Linked DNA regions of Arabidopsis thaliana. Each later gene encodes a partner of the first gene's protein in a complex. Each region holds a gene or a part of one and is shown in the gene's direction. Other genes may lie near its edges.

Region 1 (5,966 bases):
TCCCATTGTTTACGCTCACCTCGCCATTCTCCGAGTAAACGCCGGAGACCTCACTAGCAGTGATACATGGCGTTTATATATGTAGAAGTTATAATTCAGATGGTTTCTTAAGATAAGAGAAAAGCACTTTTCATCTATGAAACAACTCTTTTTAAACAACATTCCTTCCCTTGTATTTTTTTTTGTTAAAGATTCTTCTCTTGTATTTTCCCATACTTATTCAAAATCTCTCCAAAATATTAATGTAGAGTTTACTTTTTGTCATATCCAGAAATAACTATACCAAGTAAATAAGTAGAATATATGACGAGAACGTATACAATTTATGCAATAAAGAGATTAAGCTTGGGGAATAAGGAACCACGGATGCATAAAGACCTCGAATATCAAATCATGATCTTATATTACGAGACACCGAAAGCGAGTGATCATTTGCTCATTGGCATTGAGTTCAGATCCGCCGAAGCAATAATATGAACATAGAAATAATCAAAATAAAAAACCATATTTGTATGCATAAATATTGTTTCCCACTTTTTTCGAACCAGATTCAAACTCTTATGAAGTTATCCCACTATGTTTATAGAGTTCGAAAGTAAAGACCATTATAAACATGAAAGAAGATAACCATTTAACTCGTAGCAATGGATCGGAGCACGCTTATTCTTCTTCCTCTTAATTACCTCGAAAAGCCTGGAACCGGAAGTAAGCTTGGGACATATATAGTAGCAACCAGGACCACCAATTGAAGACTCCATAGAAGAGTAACATTCAACTTTCGGGCATTCTTATGTCTCTCCCACAACGTAGATGCTAATTGACCTAGTTACAAAGTGACGAATATATAGCAGAATCTTACCATTGTTCTCAATGAAGTGACTTGGATATATTGGAAACTTGGGAAGTTGAGCTATAGAAACTGTCATTAACCTACTCCAATGCTTCTTCATCAGTATATCTTACCTGCTAAGTGCGGTTCACGTAACAAAGAAAGATGATCTCCACGGAAAATCCCTAAAGAAAGAGAATCTTTCCACTGGATCCCGATGGATGAGTGATGAAGAGACTCGAACAAGGTCTCAAATCTCTCTTTTGAGAAATCGAAACTTTGTATCGAAACGGTACCGTAGATATTATAACCTATCCAATAAGGAGTTCCTCCTATACACACACTTGACAATGGTAGTCGAAAGAACCCATGGAAGGTTTTATCAACAACAACAACCTTCCAACAATCAGATTTGAAATCGTAGATTTCAACACTTAAATTATTAGGACACCGAAACCTAACCATTTTGTAATCATTACAACCACTTGGTGACTCGTTACTAATGTATCCAAGACCATATGCATCGATGGAATGGTCAAACTCAAAGCTATAGCCACATTTGATCCATCTTGCTTCTTTCAACAACGGATTGGAAACTAAAATTTTGGTTCCCATGACCATTAGCAATAGACCATCACAATGAAACATGTTGTGCTCCAATAAATCCGAAGATGAAAGCGGTTTAAAAACCTGAAAATTTAAACTAGGTTTGTTGTTGAAATCCATACCGATACAAGAAATTGTTGAGCACAATGGAGAAACTGTGGCCGGAACGTAATTGAAGACTGTGAATATCGGTTCAAGACCATGCATGTGAGACATGTGCTTGTTGACGAATATCGGTTCTGTGATTAGTGTTTTCCATTGCTTGCATGTCCTCTACCAAATTAGTTTGTAGTATGTCCTTTACCAAATTAGTTTGTAGTATTATATTTGGGTTTGTTATTTTCAATTTAGGGTATATATTTTTATTATTAAAAACTTTTTTGATTCAATTTAATATTAGATTAATGTTTGCTCTCATTTTTATTTGGGGGATTGATACAAATAGTAATAAAAAAAACTTTATTATTTAATTAATTTATAGAGGATTAAAAATTTTATATGCTATTTTGGAAATTTCAAAAAAAAGGTGTCATTTTTTGGAATAATAAAGTTTTTTAGTGTCATTTACGTCAATCCCCTTGTTATATTAATATTGGTGTGAAGCTTTTTGGGAAATATATCTATAATTTCTCATCTTATAAAGTTTTATGCTCAAGTGAGTGTTAGTATGGAAATTTTTAATTCGCAATAGTGTATATTGGTCCGTAATGGTGAATTAGTTAAATATCGATTAATTAGATTTTAGTCTGGTACACAACCATTTATAGACTAAATATCTGACAGTAAATGATTTAGAAACTCATACTAACTTATATAGTTATATATATAGGTGCTTTGGGAATTTTTGAAAATTTTGGGTTTTGGATTTTGACGTTGATTTCGATTGGATTTTTATTTGTTGGAAAGTAAATGAACCTACTAATGACCTATTTTTGGTTCTAAAGTTCCAATAAATAAAATGAAGGCTCACTAACTACTTTAATATAAAGACAGGGAGCAAATGATAATTATCGAATTCTTCACTATTTTATTTGAAAACCCACAAGAGTTTCTTCAATCTAAAGCCAAATTGGGTTAAGTCAATTGTTGTCACTATAGATGTTTAGTTCTACAACTCTGCATCATCTTCCTCGTCCGAATCTTCTTCTTCCCAGGTGGGTTTCTTCGTTTCTGTATCAATCAATATACAGTTTCATTTTCTGTAATCTCAAGTTTCGTATTTAGTAATGCAACTAAATTGATCGTCTCTGTTCATTGTCATTGGGCAATTTCGTTGAGGAATACAATTTGTTTAGAAATTTCTCATCTTTATATTGGAACCAATCCTCTAGAATCTCGAATTTATCTGGGCTGTAATTGAAATTTTATGGGGAATTAAATCAGCTTCTTAATTTTGACCTAAATATTGATGTTCAAGGATTGTTTTTTTTCCTGACCCTTTGATTCAACAGCTCTCGTGTCTGCAGGAAAGTTATTTCGAGAAGAATGAGTACGAATCCTGCAATTGAACCAAAAGTTCGCAAATTTGAATCTGTTGAAGGAGTTGATATTGGTTCAAGAAATAAATCCGATGGTTTTTTTGCTATTCCTCTTTACTTATCAAAGCTTGTGGCTTTATATAACTGTATAAGTTTAAGTAGAATTGGTACTAGTAATGAGAATTTTGTGTTTTCAGGTATCAGATTCCGTCTTGTTTCATATAACATATTAGCTCAGGTAAGAAATAATCAAGCTTTTTAATCTCTCATATGCTTTGTGATATTTTGTAGCTTAATATTTGGACGAATTTTGTAGTTTTAAACGATCTTACGAATTTCTGAGCTTGATTTATAGATACAGACAGTTCTTTTAGCTCTTTCCTTTGTTGAGTTTCTTATCTATTTGAGCTTTATATTTCTTGTAGGTTTATGTGAAGAGTGCACTTCTCCCACACTCTCCACCTGCCTGTCTCAAGTAATTATTTTTCTCTACATTTCTCAGTTTCGAGATCAAATTTACTTATACTAGTCAAGAGTTCTTTCTGTGAGTTGTGTAATCAATGGCCTGGAGTATAGTCAAGATTTGCTTCAGAAAACAACAATGGATTCTATGAATGTTTAGGAACTTAGCTATAAGCAGGCAATATTGTGTTTGGTCTTACCCACGTTAATTATCCATTACCCAATATGTACTTTGGATTTAGCGATATATTAACTTTGTTAAAATATTAGGGAATGGTGCTTCTTAAAGGGTTATGGTTTTGTAGTAAATGTGACTTGGTCTTCCTTTTCTTGTGTTGCAGATGGAAAGCTCGTTCACATGCAATTCTCAGCGTTCTCAAAAATCTCCAGGCTGATTTCTTTTGTCTGCAGGTACTTTATTCTTGTGAAAACTTCTTCTTTTGTGTTTAGGTAGTATTGAGATACCCTTTTCGTATGAAACACAAAATTCATTCTTCTCTTTTGTTCAATCCATTAGACAAGCTCAGGCCTGTAAAAATGTTAGTGTTGTTTGTTCATAGGGCCTTTGAATTGTGTTTAACAAAAGGGTGTCTCCACTTGTTAGTTATATAGTTGCAATGCTCGCAGGAAGTAGATGAGTACGATAGCTTTTACAGAAATAACATGGACTCTCTGGGATATTCTGGGATTTATATTCAGAGAACCGGCCAGAGGAAGCGTGATGGTTGTGCAATCTTCTACAAGCCAAGCTGGTATGATAAAAACATTAAGCCTGACAAGACGTTAACTTAATGCAAAAACATCAATCTGATTGAAACAACACTCTTCTTTTGATTTAGTGCAGAGTTAGTCACAAAGGAACGGATCGAATATAATGATCTTGTGGACTCAATAAAAGCAGATAGTGTTTCCTGCAGCGAACAGAAGATTGAGACATCCAACGAAGGAAAAGGTGATGAGAAAGCGAAAGATAAATTTGTCCTTTTGGAGGAAAAGAAAGCAAATACTTTGTGCTGTTTCTTTATATCTCAACATCATTACTAACTTTTATCTATGTTCTCTTCACATGTTTCCACAAATCTGCCCCAAACAAAAGATTCTCGAAAAGACAGTCGTGACCTTAATGATCCACTAGTGAGACTAAAACGTGATTGCGTTGGAATAATGGCTGCTTTTAGGATCAACAAGCCGTTTCAGCATATCGTTATCGTGGCAAACACACATCTTTACTGGTAAAAATACTTGTCACCGATTGAAGATTATCTTTTACCACCCTTTAAACTTTCATCTCATGTTTACTTATCTCTAGGGACCCTGAATTGGCTGATGTCAAGCTTGCTCAAGCCAAGTATCTACTGTCACGACTAGCTCAGTTCAAAACACTAATATCAGATGAATTTGAGTGCACACCTTCATTGCTACTAGCTGGCGACTTCAATTCAATTCCTGGGGATATGGTTTGATTCAGTTTCTTACATTGAGTTTCCCTAATTGTTCAATCTATTTGCAAAATCAAAAGATTGGGTTTACGGTGGTAAAATCCTGATACTTGTCGTCGTTTTCCAGGTTTATAGTTACCTAGTATCGGGTAATGCTAAACCCACAGAGACCATAGAAGAAGAAGAAGCTCCAGTTCCTCTGTCTAGTGTCTATGAAGTCACAAGAGGAGAGCCTAAGTTCACAAATTGCACTCCTGGCTTCACAAACACACTTGACTACATCTTCATCTCTCCTTCAGACTTCATTAAACCTGTGAGTATCCTTCAACTACCTGAGCCGGATTCTCCAGATGTTGTCGGTTTCTTACCGAATCATCATCACCCGAGTGATCATTTACCTATAGGAGCTGAGTTTGAGATTCGTCGGGAATAGGAAGTTTCGTTCTTTAGAAAGTTTTGTCGCATAACTCCATTGTTTCAGCATTTGAATATGGTTCTTGTAGAAATCATGAAGCAGTGAATCATACACACACAACACAAAGTATTAAAGGACTTGGATCATTTTTGTCTCAATAAACTCGAAATTTTCGTTGTGTGCATTGAATTACTGAGAATATTTGAATTTTCTTGAGAAGAAATTGTTTAATGTGTCTTGTTTATTGCACTCATAAAATAACATAAGAATTGGTTCTATTATTCTGTAGTCAACTAGACAAAAACAATAGAAGATTTAGTGAAATGACATGTTAATATCATATGATGATCTCGTTTCAATTTGTTGAATAAAGTTGCAACAAAATTAGGTCAAGCATTGATCTGTTTTATCTATCAACCACTAAAGTTTGTACTATCGCACCAACTTATAATAATAAATCATAATTTTGAGTACGAACGAATATTCTTTTACAGTCTCACCTTTCACCGATAATTTGAACCATTGTTATTGAATAAAGTCGTACTCTTCAAACTTTTATCCAAAATGACAGTGATGTAATGTTATGTTCCAAAAACATAAGATTTTTTCAAAACGGATAGTGATCATTCCTTTGAATATATAATCACAAACAACCGAACAAAAATATTATATTTTCTATGCTTATTATATGTTCTTATAAATAAATATCATTTAGCATAAGCTTCCCTTGAGAACCT
Region 2 (5,110 bases), on another chromosome or scaffold:
ATCACCGGAGTTGGTCCAAAATAAAATGATAGAAAATATGGTCATATTATTATGAACGATATATCTTCAGATTTACGGTCTTGGTTTTTAATGGTTTTCTAATAAGATTATTTTCTCTGAAACGTGATCAAGAACTAAATACTCGTTTTTACGAGTGAACTTAACGTTTAGTAACTTAACAGCTATGAGCCTTCTTATCTTTAAGTGTATCTTATAATAGATCATATCGAAATGTTACCTAGAGTTCATGTAGAATATGACATTTGTTTTATCAAGCTGTTCGAACATTTGTAGGAACGATCTAAACATCTCTAAACAATCCAAAACCCATAAAATTAAACAAATATTTGGTACTAGATGATTTACCTAATCTAAATTATATGTGCACGTGATATTAAAGAATTTATCTACGTTAAATACATGCAACTGTTTAAATAATTCTTTCTAATTTAAGTAACAAAAATTTCAATTTTAGTTTCTATTTTCGTTTTTTTCGATTTTGATTTTAAATATAGAATTCTATTTAGATTTTAGATGAGCAAGCAATTACACGGTGAGACATATTTTTGGAGGGTAACAATTAAGTAAATTTTGTTATATATATAAGAACAATTATGCAGAAACTTTCATGTTTGGTATGTGTTGGATTCCAGAAGAAATTTCCTAAAAATGGTCGGATGATGAAACCACCATCTAATATTTCGTGACTTGACATTACTTGTTTATTTTTTTTAATTTATAGAAAAAGGTACACAATTATTTGATATAAAACAAGCTAATACATTAGTTTATATAAAAACGAATTAATTATTACAAAACAATGGATTATGCTTGAGGGTAAGTGGGAAGCACGATGATGCCTTGACTCCGTAATAATAATTAGAATTAAAATTCCTTTATCCCCTTTCTTCCTAATAGTTGTCTTTTTTTGTAAAAAAAAAAAGAACTTTGGTCCTCGTTTGAGTTGGAGAATCTTTTCATGTAATAATTTTAAGAAGAAAAACTGATTACGCTGGTGAAACTTGAAAGTTTTTTTCTAAAATAAATAAATCTAAAATGATTCTATTCATGAACGAAGATGATTGTAACAAGTGATGCATGTATCTCTATCAAACGTCTTCCCATTCGTTGTATGATTGCATTAATATTGGCCACTTGTAACTTGTAAGGTAGAAATCCCAAAGTCAATTCTATTATAATTAAAATTACTTTGTTTTGTTTAACAATTATGCTAACAAATCCTTCTTAATAACAAGATAACATAAATCTAAAATCCTTTTTTTGAGTTGAAAAAAAACAAGATACCATATTTTCAATTAATTGGCAGAACTACATAGGAAACAAATCCGAAATTGAAGAGTTTACATAGAAGAAAAAAAAACAGAAATAAAAGAGTTTACCTGGAAAATAATCAAATATTATGTTCTTTCAAATTTTCGACAAAAAAAAAAATTGATATTCTTTCAATTTTGTGAGATAATCAGTACAGAAATTATTAAAATGTGATATAAAATTGCGAGACAATCCGTAGGAATATTATTACCAAATGATATAAAACTGAGTTAAAATTGTAAGAAAAAGAAGTTTTAAGGTTCTTCAAATCATCTAGCTGACTAGCTCCATAGCAAAAATAAATAATTTTGATTGTTTATTAGCACAATCTGTTTCTTAACCATATAAATTTAGACTTGTACAAAAATCAAAATGCAGTTTAGTTTATACAACTTTTCCTATAACTATAAAGTTCGATCGTCATAATAAGGTATAACAATTTAACTCTAGTACCAAATGCTATAAAATACATAAAATTTAAGAATAATGGAGGTAGGTCTACAAAGCAAAAGAAAAAAAAAAGATCATGGAAGTTACAAACGAACGGAATTTCCGTGATACACATAAATAAAAATTGGTCATCATATCACACAATTCGCATCATTAAAATAATTAGAAAACGGACAATACGGATAAAATAATTGGTAACTGGCCAAAACGTAATGATTGATGTAAGAAGACGCACGGCAAAACGTCGTCGTATAAGCTTTTCATCGTCAAACAAAACGGCTTCGTTTCAAGGCTCACACTTGTCTTTATTTATCACTTCATCTTCTCCAAAGCCATACCACTTGAAACCTCTCTCTCTGGTTGACCCGATAATTTCTCTCTCGCAGACGCACAGATCTCTCTTCGAATCTGCTAGATCTGTTCCTTTTCTTACATCTGTATTGCGAAACCTCTGGTAATTTCATACTTTCATGTCTCTCCGTTTCATTTCGATTTTCGTTTCACAGCTAGGGTTTGCTTTTTGTTACATCGATTTCTGATTTTCCTGGTGTTGTTGCCTCTTCCTCAGATCGGAAGGTTTCGTTTACAGATCTACCGATACGAGTTTCGCAGTATTTCCGAGTTCCGACGTATGCTTTGTTTTCAGATCTGGGTTTGTTGTATATCTAGAAATGGCGGAGACTTTGAAAGAAGATTCGATTATGATTCGAGAGGTTTGGGATTACAATTTGGTTGAAGAATTCGCGTTGATCCGTGAGATTGTTGACAAATTCAGCTATATCGCTATGGATACTGAGTTTCCAGGTGTGGTTTTGAAGCCTGTTGCTACTTTCAAGTACAATAACGATCTTAACTACAGGACTCTCAAGGAAAATGTCGATTTGTTGAAATTGATTCAAGTTGGGTTAACTTTTTCTGATGAGAATGGGAATCTTCCGACTTGTGGGACGGATAAGTTCTGCATCTGGCAATTCAATTTCCGTGAGTTCAACATCGGTGAGGATATCTACGCGAGTGAGTCTATTGAGCTGTTGCGTCAGTGTGGGATTGATTTCAAGAAGAACATTGAGAAAGGTATTGATGTGGTTAGGTTTGGTGAGCTTATGATGTCGTCTGGGATTGTTTTGAACGATGCTATCTCGTGGGTTACGTTCCATGGTGGATATGATTTCGGGTATTTGGTTAAGTTGTTGACTTGTAAGGAATTGCCTCTCAAGCAAGCTGATTTCTTCAAGCTTCTGTATGTGTATTTCCCTACGGTTTACGATATCAAGCACTTGATGACGTTCTGCAACGGACTGTTTGGTGGATTGAACAGACTTGCGGAGCTTATGGGAGTGGAGAGAGTTGGGATTTGTCATCAAGCTGGGTCGGATAGCTTGCTCACCTTAGGGTCGTTTAGGAAGCTCAAGGAACGTTATTTCCCGGGATCAACTGAGAAATACACTGGAGTCTTGTATGGTCTAGGTGTGGAAGATGGTACTACTACTACTGTTGCTAATTAAGAAGAAAGGAATGAAAGATACTTTGAAAATTCCAGGGAAGTGCGATTAGATATATTTCTTTAGTCTTTGTGAGTGTGAGAAGACCAAAATAGAATCGTCGTTGTGTAAATTGGCAAATTGGTGTTAGTAAGTGACTTGTTGTGTCTTTGTTGCTTTGTTTTCAGGAAAACCCCTTGTGATCAAAATTTGAGGGGTTTTTGTTTTAGCTTGAGTTTCTGAATGTATATCAATTCAGCTACCCGTTTATTTAATAAATAATCTCCAATTTTAATTTTTCTTCTCTTTTCTTTTTGTGTGTGTTTTCTTCTTACTAGTGACCAATGTAACTTGACAGTGGCTTCTTGTAGTAGCGTTTGCATGTCTCAGCTTGCAGTTACTGTGTAATTCTTTGTAACCATACCAGTTTGAAGATGCAAACTGGTAAGTTTTATGCTTAAGAGAATGTTGAATCTTCCTGTGTTCTTCTTTCCCTCTTCGTTGATACAAGTTGATAAGGAGAACAATGAACTGCTTATGCTAGAGGTTATATGTGTTACATTGTTTAAAAAACAGAGCTATGGTAATCGATTGATGTATAGATTTGTTATTTAGGTGTTTATGATGTAAGTGGTATCATGTCATGGTTAATGTGGAGGAGAATCACATATGTATGCTGTTGCATTCGCCAATCACCTCAATAGCCAATTTATTATCATATTGTCAATGAGTAGCATTCTAATGCAATCAATGTTTTGTTGGGCAAGTATTCAGACGTCATCTGAGTCGCAAGTGGTACAGAAGATTACGAGATTTGACTGATTGAGACGTCGTAGCTCATTCAATTGCCGAAGAAAAAAAAAAAAGTATCAGCCTGTTGGAAGTATTATGTCAAAATGTGGATTTGTGTATGAACTCAGTTTCCATCAAGATAATTAAATCTAAGTTTCTCAAAACCTTAAATATTTCATTACACGAACTTGTTTGATGATCGAAAACATATGATCCAATAGCAACACGACACGAGAAATAAAGTAAAAAGAAGAAAACAACAGCAATACGGCAAAAGTCCGAGTCACTATTATGTAGGTGTGGCAGAGAATCAAATCTACTTCTTATTACAGAAGAAACAGTGTACTTGCTAGTCCTGTCTTTAACGGCTTCTCTGAGTCTCTTCACGTGTGTTTGTGTGTTGGGAATTGGGATTCTGATTTGGGCCTTTGTTGTGTGGGCTTTGATCAGAGGTGGGAGAACGTTTTTACCAAGGTTGAATTGGGATTCTGATTTGGGCATGTTTGTTGTTTTAGGGTTTAGTTATTATCAAATGACCACTATTGGCTATTGCTTTGCTTTAGGTAACCAAAAAAACGTTACATATTTAAATAAAAATGTGTAACACAGTGCGGACGAAATAGCATCAAAATTATTTATATACATATCAGATATGAATTGAGTTAATTAGTGTCTAATTATTATCTTGTGGCTGCCATATGTCTTTTTTGAACTTGTTCTCGTTGAGGAAAATTTGGTATGCCTAAACATAGTATGTTTATCAATTTGGTTGAGACCAGCAAAATATCAGTGCCAACCCTAATTATAACGATTACTCATCAACTTATGATATACATATCCTTGTGAATCCAAAAGAAGCTGTCAAGCACCCACTTTTATTTTATTAGTTTTTTTTTCTGTTGATGTATAGTACTTGATTGCGGAAAAAATGGTAAGTAACTAAGTATGATTAGGGCTATTTGTTATTTTATTCTTCAAAAATGAAGAGTAAGGTTCAGATGTAGTTTTGAAATATACTTTTTGCCTAATTTTGGATGAGACAGACAAATCTAATC
Region 3 (6,862 bases), about 17 Mb from region 1:
ATAGAATTATGAGTTTTTATTTATATTTCTATCTCCACTCCAAATAATTTAGACCACACAAGGTAATGAAAAAATAATAATTCTGAAAAAAATGAAAAATACTGCCGGGAAATCGAGACGCCACACACACTAGTGAATTCGTTGCAAAACCATATATATTACAGTATTTTGTTCTTCTCAAGGCCTCTCTCTCCATCTCAGCAACTCTCTCACTGTGTAATATACACACACAATGGTGGTCGATGTAGAGAGCCGAACCGCGAGCGTGACAGGAGAGAAGATGGCGGCGCGTGGCTGTGATGCGTGCATGAAGAGATCACGTGCTAGTTGGTACTGTCCAGCCGATGACGCTTTCCTATGCCAAAGCTGCGACGCCTCGATCCACTCGGCTAACCATTTAGCGAAACGGCACGAACGTGTCCGGTTACAATCATCTTCGCCGACGGAGACGGCAGACAAAACGACGTCGGTATGGTACGAAGGATTCAGGAGAAAGGCGAGAACGCCTAGGAGCAAGAGTTGTGCGTTTGAGAAGTTGTTGCAAATCGAGTCAAACGATCCTCTTGTTCCGGAGCTTGGTGGAGACGAAGATGATGGCTTTTTCTCGTTCTCCTCCGTAGAAGAAACCGAGGAGAGTCTGAATTGTTGCGTGCCTGTTTTCGATCCTTTCTCAGACATGCTGATTGATGATATAAACGGCTTTTGCTTAGTTCCTGATGAAGTCAATAACACTACTACTAATGGAGAATTAGGAGAAGTCGAGAAGGCAATCATGGACGATGAAGGTTTTATGGGGTTCGTGCCATTGGATATGGATCTTGAGGATCTCACTATGGACGTGGAGAGTTTACTTGAGGAAGAACAACTTTGCTTGGGATTCAAGGAACCAAACGATGTTGGAGTCATCAAAGAAGAGAATAAAGTAGGGTTTGAGATTAATTGTAAGGATTTGAAGAGGGTGAAAGATGAAGATGAAGAAGAAGAAGAAGCCAAGTGTGAAAATGGAGGATCAAAGGATAGTGATAGAGAAGCATCAAATGATAAAGATAGAAAGACAAGTTTGTTTCTGAGATTAGATTATGGAGCTGTGATTAGTGCTTGGGATAATCACGGTTCGCCGTGGAAAACCGGAATCAAACCGGAGTGCATGGTAAGTTGGTGTCTCTAGCTATATCTCTCATCTCTATGTTAGTCTTTAGTAGTGTCGAGTTCCGTTGACTTTGAGCTGATATATATTGATTATAAAAGACGAAATAACGTTATAAAGTTCACTGATCCAGTTGGGAGGGAACACGTGTCTGCCTCATGTTGTGGGTGGGTACGAGAAATTGATGTCGAGCGACGGATCGGTGACACGTCAGCAAGGGAGAGACGGAGGAGGATCGGACGGGGAGAGAGAGGCGAGGGTTTTGAGGTACAAGGAGAAGCGGAGGACGAGGTTGTTCTCAAAGAAAATAAGATATGAGGTTCGGAAACTTAACGCTGAGCAGAGACCTCGAATCAAAGGTCGTTTCGTGAAGAGGACGTCACTTTTGACGTGATTTGATTTACTTTAATCAACACTTTAAAGATCTTGTAATTAAGACCTTTGAAGTAATTGTCGTAATGTACTGAATAATGAACTGAAACTCTTGGGGCCGATGGTTGTGTAGACTTGTAGCCGGCAACTATGATTTTATAGATTGATTGATTGAGTAATTTATTGTATATATCAAATGAAAACTCTTTGTTTATCAAATGAATTGGAGAAAAAAGCCATAATGTGTGATAATAACGAACACTAAAAAATTCGTAGCGAAGACATGTTACAAAGAAAACAAGTGTAATTAAAAAAAACAAAAAAAAAACAAGAAACAAGTTCAAATTAGAACATGCCATTTCCAACAATTTACAAATGAAGCAAGAAATAAAAGCCATTAAGGCCTAGTTATGGCTGAATAGCCCATCACACAATTAAAAAAACCAACATAAAGAGCCCAACTAGGCAACTACTTAAGCCAACCGGTTTGGGTTATCAAGTACGTATTTTAATCGTTAACCAGTAAAAATCGTGAATTTCAACCGACTGAATTTGGTTAACTTCACAAGGTTGACGCATAGCTCACGCGCCGCCGACTTGCTACGATTGACATGAGCGGATACGAGCGTAAGAACACGACGGCGAACTCAATCACCATCACCAAGCGGAAGCGTAACTCGATTTCGGAACAATCGGAGAACGTATACGAGAAATCGAATAGGAAGGAGTCAATAACCTTAAAACCTCACCGTTCTTTTACGCCGGGATTCAGCCAGCGTGATTGTAAACCTGTCAGACATAGTAAGTCTTCTCTCCGCCGGCGACGGAGAACTAAGGAGAAGATCTCGAGTTCCGTTGAGCGCGAATGGGTGTTTTCCGCAAACAATTTTGAAAATCTAGCAGGTCTGTGTGCATTGCAATCACACTGAATAATGCACTTATATGCTTTTATTAGCTTCACGAAGTATCACATTCCGTACTTTGAACACATTTTTATCTTATGTGTATGAAAAACTTGATATCTCCTTTTCAATTCTTCAGATAAATTAGTATTAGTTTCGTACAATCTACTTGGTGTTGACAATGCGTCGAACCACATGGACTTGTATTACAATGTTCCGCGGAAGCACTTAGAGTGGAGTAGACGGAAACATCTCATATGCAAGGAGATTAGTCGTTACAATGCAAGCATCTTATGTCTTCAGGCAAGTTCCAGGGGATTGCCTAGATCTACACTATTTAAGTTTCATTGCATTCTCATGTCCAAATTTATTGCAGGAGGTTGACCGCTTTGATGATTTAGATGTTCTTCTTAAAAATAGAGGATTTCGAGGTGTTCACAAGGTATATATACGAGTCAAAAGCTTTATTACCTTGTATGCAATGGTGCCTTTTTCATACATTTAGTATTTTTTAGAGTCGGACTGGAGAAGCGAGTGATGGTTGTGCTATATTTTGGAAAGAGAATCTGTAAGTTCAGTTTTTTTCTATTTAGGATCATTTTTAATGTGGTGGGAAGTCTCTATATGCTGGAGTCAGGATCAGGAATCTAGCCATTTGAATTGTCTACAGGGAATATCTCTCTTTTGGAACGAGATAAATTAGATCTTCTAGTTATCTGTTTTGAATGTTTCGAAATTGTTAATGGTAGGTTCACGTTGTGTTATGTTATCAGCTTTGACCTTGGCTTCACAATATATTGTTCAAGGCTGAAAGCTTTGCTTTCTATTGTTCTCGATGTTATTTATTTTGTATTAGACTCTTACTCTACTAGTTTCATCATTTATGTTATATTTCTGCTGTGAATGCAGATTTGAACTTCTAGACCATCAACATATAGAGTTTGATAAATTTGGTATGCGAAACAATGTTGCTCAACTTTGTGTTTTAGAGGTATGCACCGTTTTAAGTTATTTCTGTATTGTCGTCTTCCCCCTCTTTTCTCCTCTGTCTTTTCTTGATTCTAGAAGCACAGAGATATGACAAGCTTAATTGTGGGCATTATTTTATATATTTTTCCCTCCTGTTGTGTTTTCAGCTTTGCAGGCTAATTGCTTAATTTTCTTAGTTTCAGCCCTTGCAATTAATTAATTTACTTGATTGTCTATTACGGAACAGATGAACTGTGAGGAGGACCCAAAGTCTAAATTACGGGTGCGATCATCAGAGTATGTCTGAGTTCTGTTCTGATTCCTTTACTGGAGTGAATATTGAACTTACTTTTAAGATCCTTACTAAATTTTATGCGCACTTCCATGTTTGGTTGATTTATGCAAACTTCTACTAGTCCTCGAAGGCTAGTGGTTGGGAATATACATGTCCTATTCAATCCTAAGCGTGGGGATATCAAGCTTGGCCAGGTATGTCTTGCTAGATCCTTACAAAATTCTGATAAAAACTGGCTTATCCATAAAATCGGTAGAGCATTTCTGTCACTACACATCCTGAGTTTAGAAATGTCAATTTTTTAGCTAGTACTATTTTATGGTATTCATCAGTACATCAATGCCTGTCAGTATTGAAACTTCATTGAAATTCTAAGTAGCTCGCTCATTTCTTGATATTTGATATGTCATAACTTATAGGTAAGACTCTTTCTGGAGAAGGCTTACAAGCTATCACAGGAATGGGGAAATATTCCTGTGGCGATTGCAGGTGATCTGAATAGCACTCCACAGGTGATCTCTACCAACTTTTGTTTTTTTTGTTCTAATACTTATTTTTTAGCTGAATTCTAAAACTTACTCTGGATTTGCTGTACAGAGTGCAATCTATGATTTCATAGCTTCAGCTGATGTGAGTTCCATTGAGGGTTCTGGACTCTTTCTTTTACATTTCGCCTGGTCATAATTTTTTTCCTTTCTTTACTGGGAAAGTTAGAATGAACTCTTTATATTCCTTTTTTAATTTTGGACAGTTGGATACACAACTTCACGATCGCAGGCAAATTTCTGGCCAGACTGAAGTGGAACCAAAGGAGAGGTCATTCAGAAACCATTATGCATTTAGGTAGCTTGTAATTCACCGGGGTCTTTGGTTTCTCTAAATAATGTATCCATATTCCTTTTCTGCCTACCTGATGAACGGATAGATTGCTTATATCTCTTCTGTTTACCTGATGAACTGATAGAGTGATAGATTACTTATATTTTTCTTTGGCCTGCGCTTAATCAACTACGTAATCCTCAGATGAAGTTTCTATCTCAATTTAGTCTAACTAAACAACTCCCTCTTTCGTCAGTGCTTCAGCATCCATCTCCGGATCACTACTCAATGAGTGGAGCCAGGAAGAATTACAGCTTGCAACTGGTGGTCAAGAAACCACTCATGTCCAACATCAACTGAAGCTTAACAGCGCATATAGTGGAGTTCCTGTAAGTGTTTTTGTTTCTTGTTCTCGACTGGTGGACGCATCGAAAAGAGTTGAAATCTGCCTTACAGGAAAACTAAGTTCTTAGGAACTGTGGCTTTCTTTTATACTAGATACTGAAAAACGTTTAGGGAAAGTAGCATGTTGTATGATGTTATATATCCTTCTAGTATGCTAAGACCTGAGATCTTGCAGGGTACATATAGAACTAGAGATCAACGCGGTGAACCATTGGCAACAACGTATCATTCCAGGTTCCTTGGAACTGTTGATTATATATGGTAAGTCTGTTGTGCTTATGAAATCCGAATCATTAATCAGAGCTTTCAATTATATATGGCTATCAATGTTGTGATATATGCACATGTAATTTTGAAATCTCAATAATTAATCTGAGGTTTTGAACCCAGGCATACCAAGGAACTCGTTCCTGTGAGGGTTCTTGAGACCTTGCCAGCAGATGTATTGAGAAGAACAGGTGGACTACCTAGTGAGGTAAGTTTTTTTTTCTAGGCTAAACTTTTTTTCTGGGGCAACCCTTTACTTTCTCGAGTTACTCTATTCATTTTTTCAAGAATGTAAAAACTGGGATTATTGGAAGAGTTGCATACAAGTCTCTGACCAATGAAAATTTGCAGAATTGGGGAAGCGACCATCTCGCTATCGCATGTGAACTCGGCTTTGTCAATGACTGGCAATGAGCCAAAATGTTAGCACCAACCACTAAACCGAGCCACCTGACTTGGCCATCCCTTGAGGTTTTTGAATGCTCATCGAGGCTTCTGAATTGGAGTTCGGAAACAGATTCAGTAAATTGTAAAACATAAACAAGTTTTGGGCTCATTCCCATACATAGATTTGCTTACTTGAAACATTTTTTTTTACCTTACCTACCCAAGACTTGCACCTACTCTTTCTGCTTTTAAAAAGTTAATACCAAAATAGCATGTTACTGGACGTGTACCTATGAGGAGCGAAGACCCATTTTGCTACTAGAAGCAAAACAATGTAAGAGACGTTGCGTAAAAAGTATCTCAATCTGTTCACTCCAAAATAAGCTCTTCTCAAGTGTCATCTGACGCTGCATTAATCAAAATACCACACGGTATTATCAAAAGTGTCGTAAGCATTCTTTCCAAGTGTTGGGAATACATTGGGTACACAAATCGGCCATTTACAGTTAACACACATCTATTTAAATCACTCTTTTCTCTTTGCTCCACCAAAACATTCCGGCATAAACAAAAAAAAGTCCCACTAGAAAAGCTCATTATGAAAGTGAACGAGGAAAACAACAAGCCGACAAAGACCCATGTCTTAATCTTCCCATTTCCGGCGCAAGGTCACATGATTCCCCTCCTCGACTTCACCCACCGCCTTGCTCTCCGCGGCGGCGCCGCCTTAAAAATAACCGTCCTAGTCACTCCAAAAAACCTTCCTTTTCTCTCTCCGCTTCTCTCCGCCGTAGTTAACATCGAACCACTTATCCTCCCTTTTCCCTCCCACCCTTCAATCCCCTCCGGCGTCGAAAACGTCCAAGACTTACCTCCTTCAGGCTTCCCTTTAATGATCCACGCGCTTGGTAATCTCCACGCGCCGCTTATCTCTTGGATTACTTCTCACCCTTCTCCTCCAGTAGCCATCGTATCTGATTTCTTCCTTGGTTGGACCAAAAACCTCGGAATCCCTCGTTTCGATTTCTCTCCCTCCGCTGCTATCACTTGCTGCATACTCAATACTCTCTGGATCGAAATGCCCACCAAGATCAACGAAGATGACGATAACGAGATCCTCCACTTTCCCAAGATCCCGAATTGTCCAAAATACCGTTTTGATCAGATCTCCTCTCTTTACAGAAGTTACGTTCACGGAGATCCAGCTTGGGAGTTCATAAGAGACTCCTTTAGAGATAACGTGGCGAGTTGGGGACTCGTCGTGAACTCGTTCACCGCCATGGAAGGTGTTTATCTCGA

The links. The genes of interacting proteins can lie anywhere in the genome.
Region 2: AT1G31500 (region 1) and AT5G10960 share a complex: the UniProt entries of both Arabidopsis thaliana proteins name them as parts of the CCR4-NOT complex.
Region 3: AT1G31500 (region 1) and AT1G73875 share a complex: the UniProt entries of both Arabidopsis thaliana proteins name them as parts of the CCR4-NOT complex.

The regions. Positions count from the first base shown.
Region 1 is NC_003070.9:11,273,102-11,279,067, reverse strand, and holds AT1G31500 (DNAse I-like superfamily protein), read left to right. Parts: upstream 1-2,439; 5' UTR 2,440-2,533; coding exon 2,534-2,589; exon of another isoform or gene 2,590-2,593; intron 2,594-2,886; coding exon 2,887-3,151; intron 3,152-3,338; coding exon 3,339-3,388; intron 3,389-3,716; coding exon 3,717-3,786; intron 3,787-4,002; coding exon 4,003-4,127; intron 4,128-4,214; coding exon 4,215-4,327; intron 4,328-4,471; coding exon 4,472-4,607; intron 4,608-4,684; coding exon 4,685-4,832; coding exon of another isoform or gene 4,833-4,838; exon of another isoform or gene 4,839-4,941; coding exon 4,942-5,247; 3' UTR 5,248-5,466; downstream 5,467-5,966. Other genes in the region: AT1G31520 (uncharacterized protein), read left to right, coding at 1-85; AT1G31510 (F-box associated ubiquitination effector family protein), read right to left, coding at 606-787, 860-919, 964-1,651. UniProt on the Arabidopsis thaliana protein: Acts as a catalytic component of the CCR4-NOT core complex, which in the nucleus seems to be a general transcription factor, and in the cytoplasm the major mRNA deadenylase involved in mRNA turnover.
Region 2 is NC_003076.8:3,462,128-3,467,237, forward strand, and holds AT5G10960 (Polynucleotidyl transferase, ribonuclease H-like superfamily protein), read left to right. Parts: upstream 1-1,970; 5' UTR 1,971-2,236; intron 2,237-2,350; 5' UTR 2,351-2,453; coding exon 2,454-3,287; 3' UTR 3,288-4,187; downstream 4,188-5,110. UniProt on the Arabidopsis thaliana protein: Ubiquitous transcription factor required for a diverse set of processes. It is a component of the CCR4 complex involved in the control of gene expression.
Region 3 is NC_003070.9:27,778,982-27,785,843, forward strand, and holds AT1G73875 (DNAse I-like superfamily protein), read left to right. Parts: upstream 1-1,873; 5' UTR 1,874-2,130; coding exon 2,131-2,422; intron 2,423-2,560; coding exon 2,561-2,724; intron 2,725-2,797; coding exon 2,798-2,863; intron 2,864-2,936; coding exon 2,937-2,989; intron 2,990-3,330; coding exon 3,331-3,412; intron 3,413-3,637; coding exon 3,638-3,687; intron 3,688-3,806; coding exon 3,807-3,879; intron 3,880-4,104; coding exon 4,105-4,197; intron 4,198-4,282; coding exon 4,283-4,315; intron 4,316-4,436; coding exon 4,437-4,528; intron 4,529-4,760; coding exon 4,761-4,893; coding exon of another isoform or gene 4,894-4,977; exon of another isoform or gene 4,978-5,084; coding exon 5,085-5,170; intron 5,171-5,299; coding exon 5,300-5,384; intron 5,385-5,527; coding exon 5,528-5,590; 3' UTR 5,591-5,939; downstream 5,940-6,862. Other genes in the region: BBX16 (B-box type zinc finger protein with CCT domain-containing protein), read left to right, coding at 233-1,150, 1,281-1,541; UGT89B1 (UDP-glucosyl transferase 89B1), read left to right, coding at 6,162-6,862. UniProt on the Arabidopsis thaliana protein: Acts as a catalytic component of the CCR4-NOT core complex, which in the nucleus seems to be a general transcription factor, and in the cytoplasm the major mRNA deadenylase involved in mRNA turnover.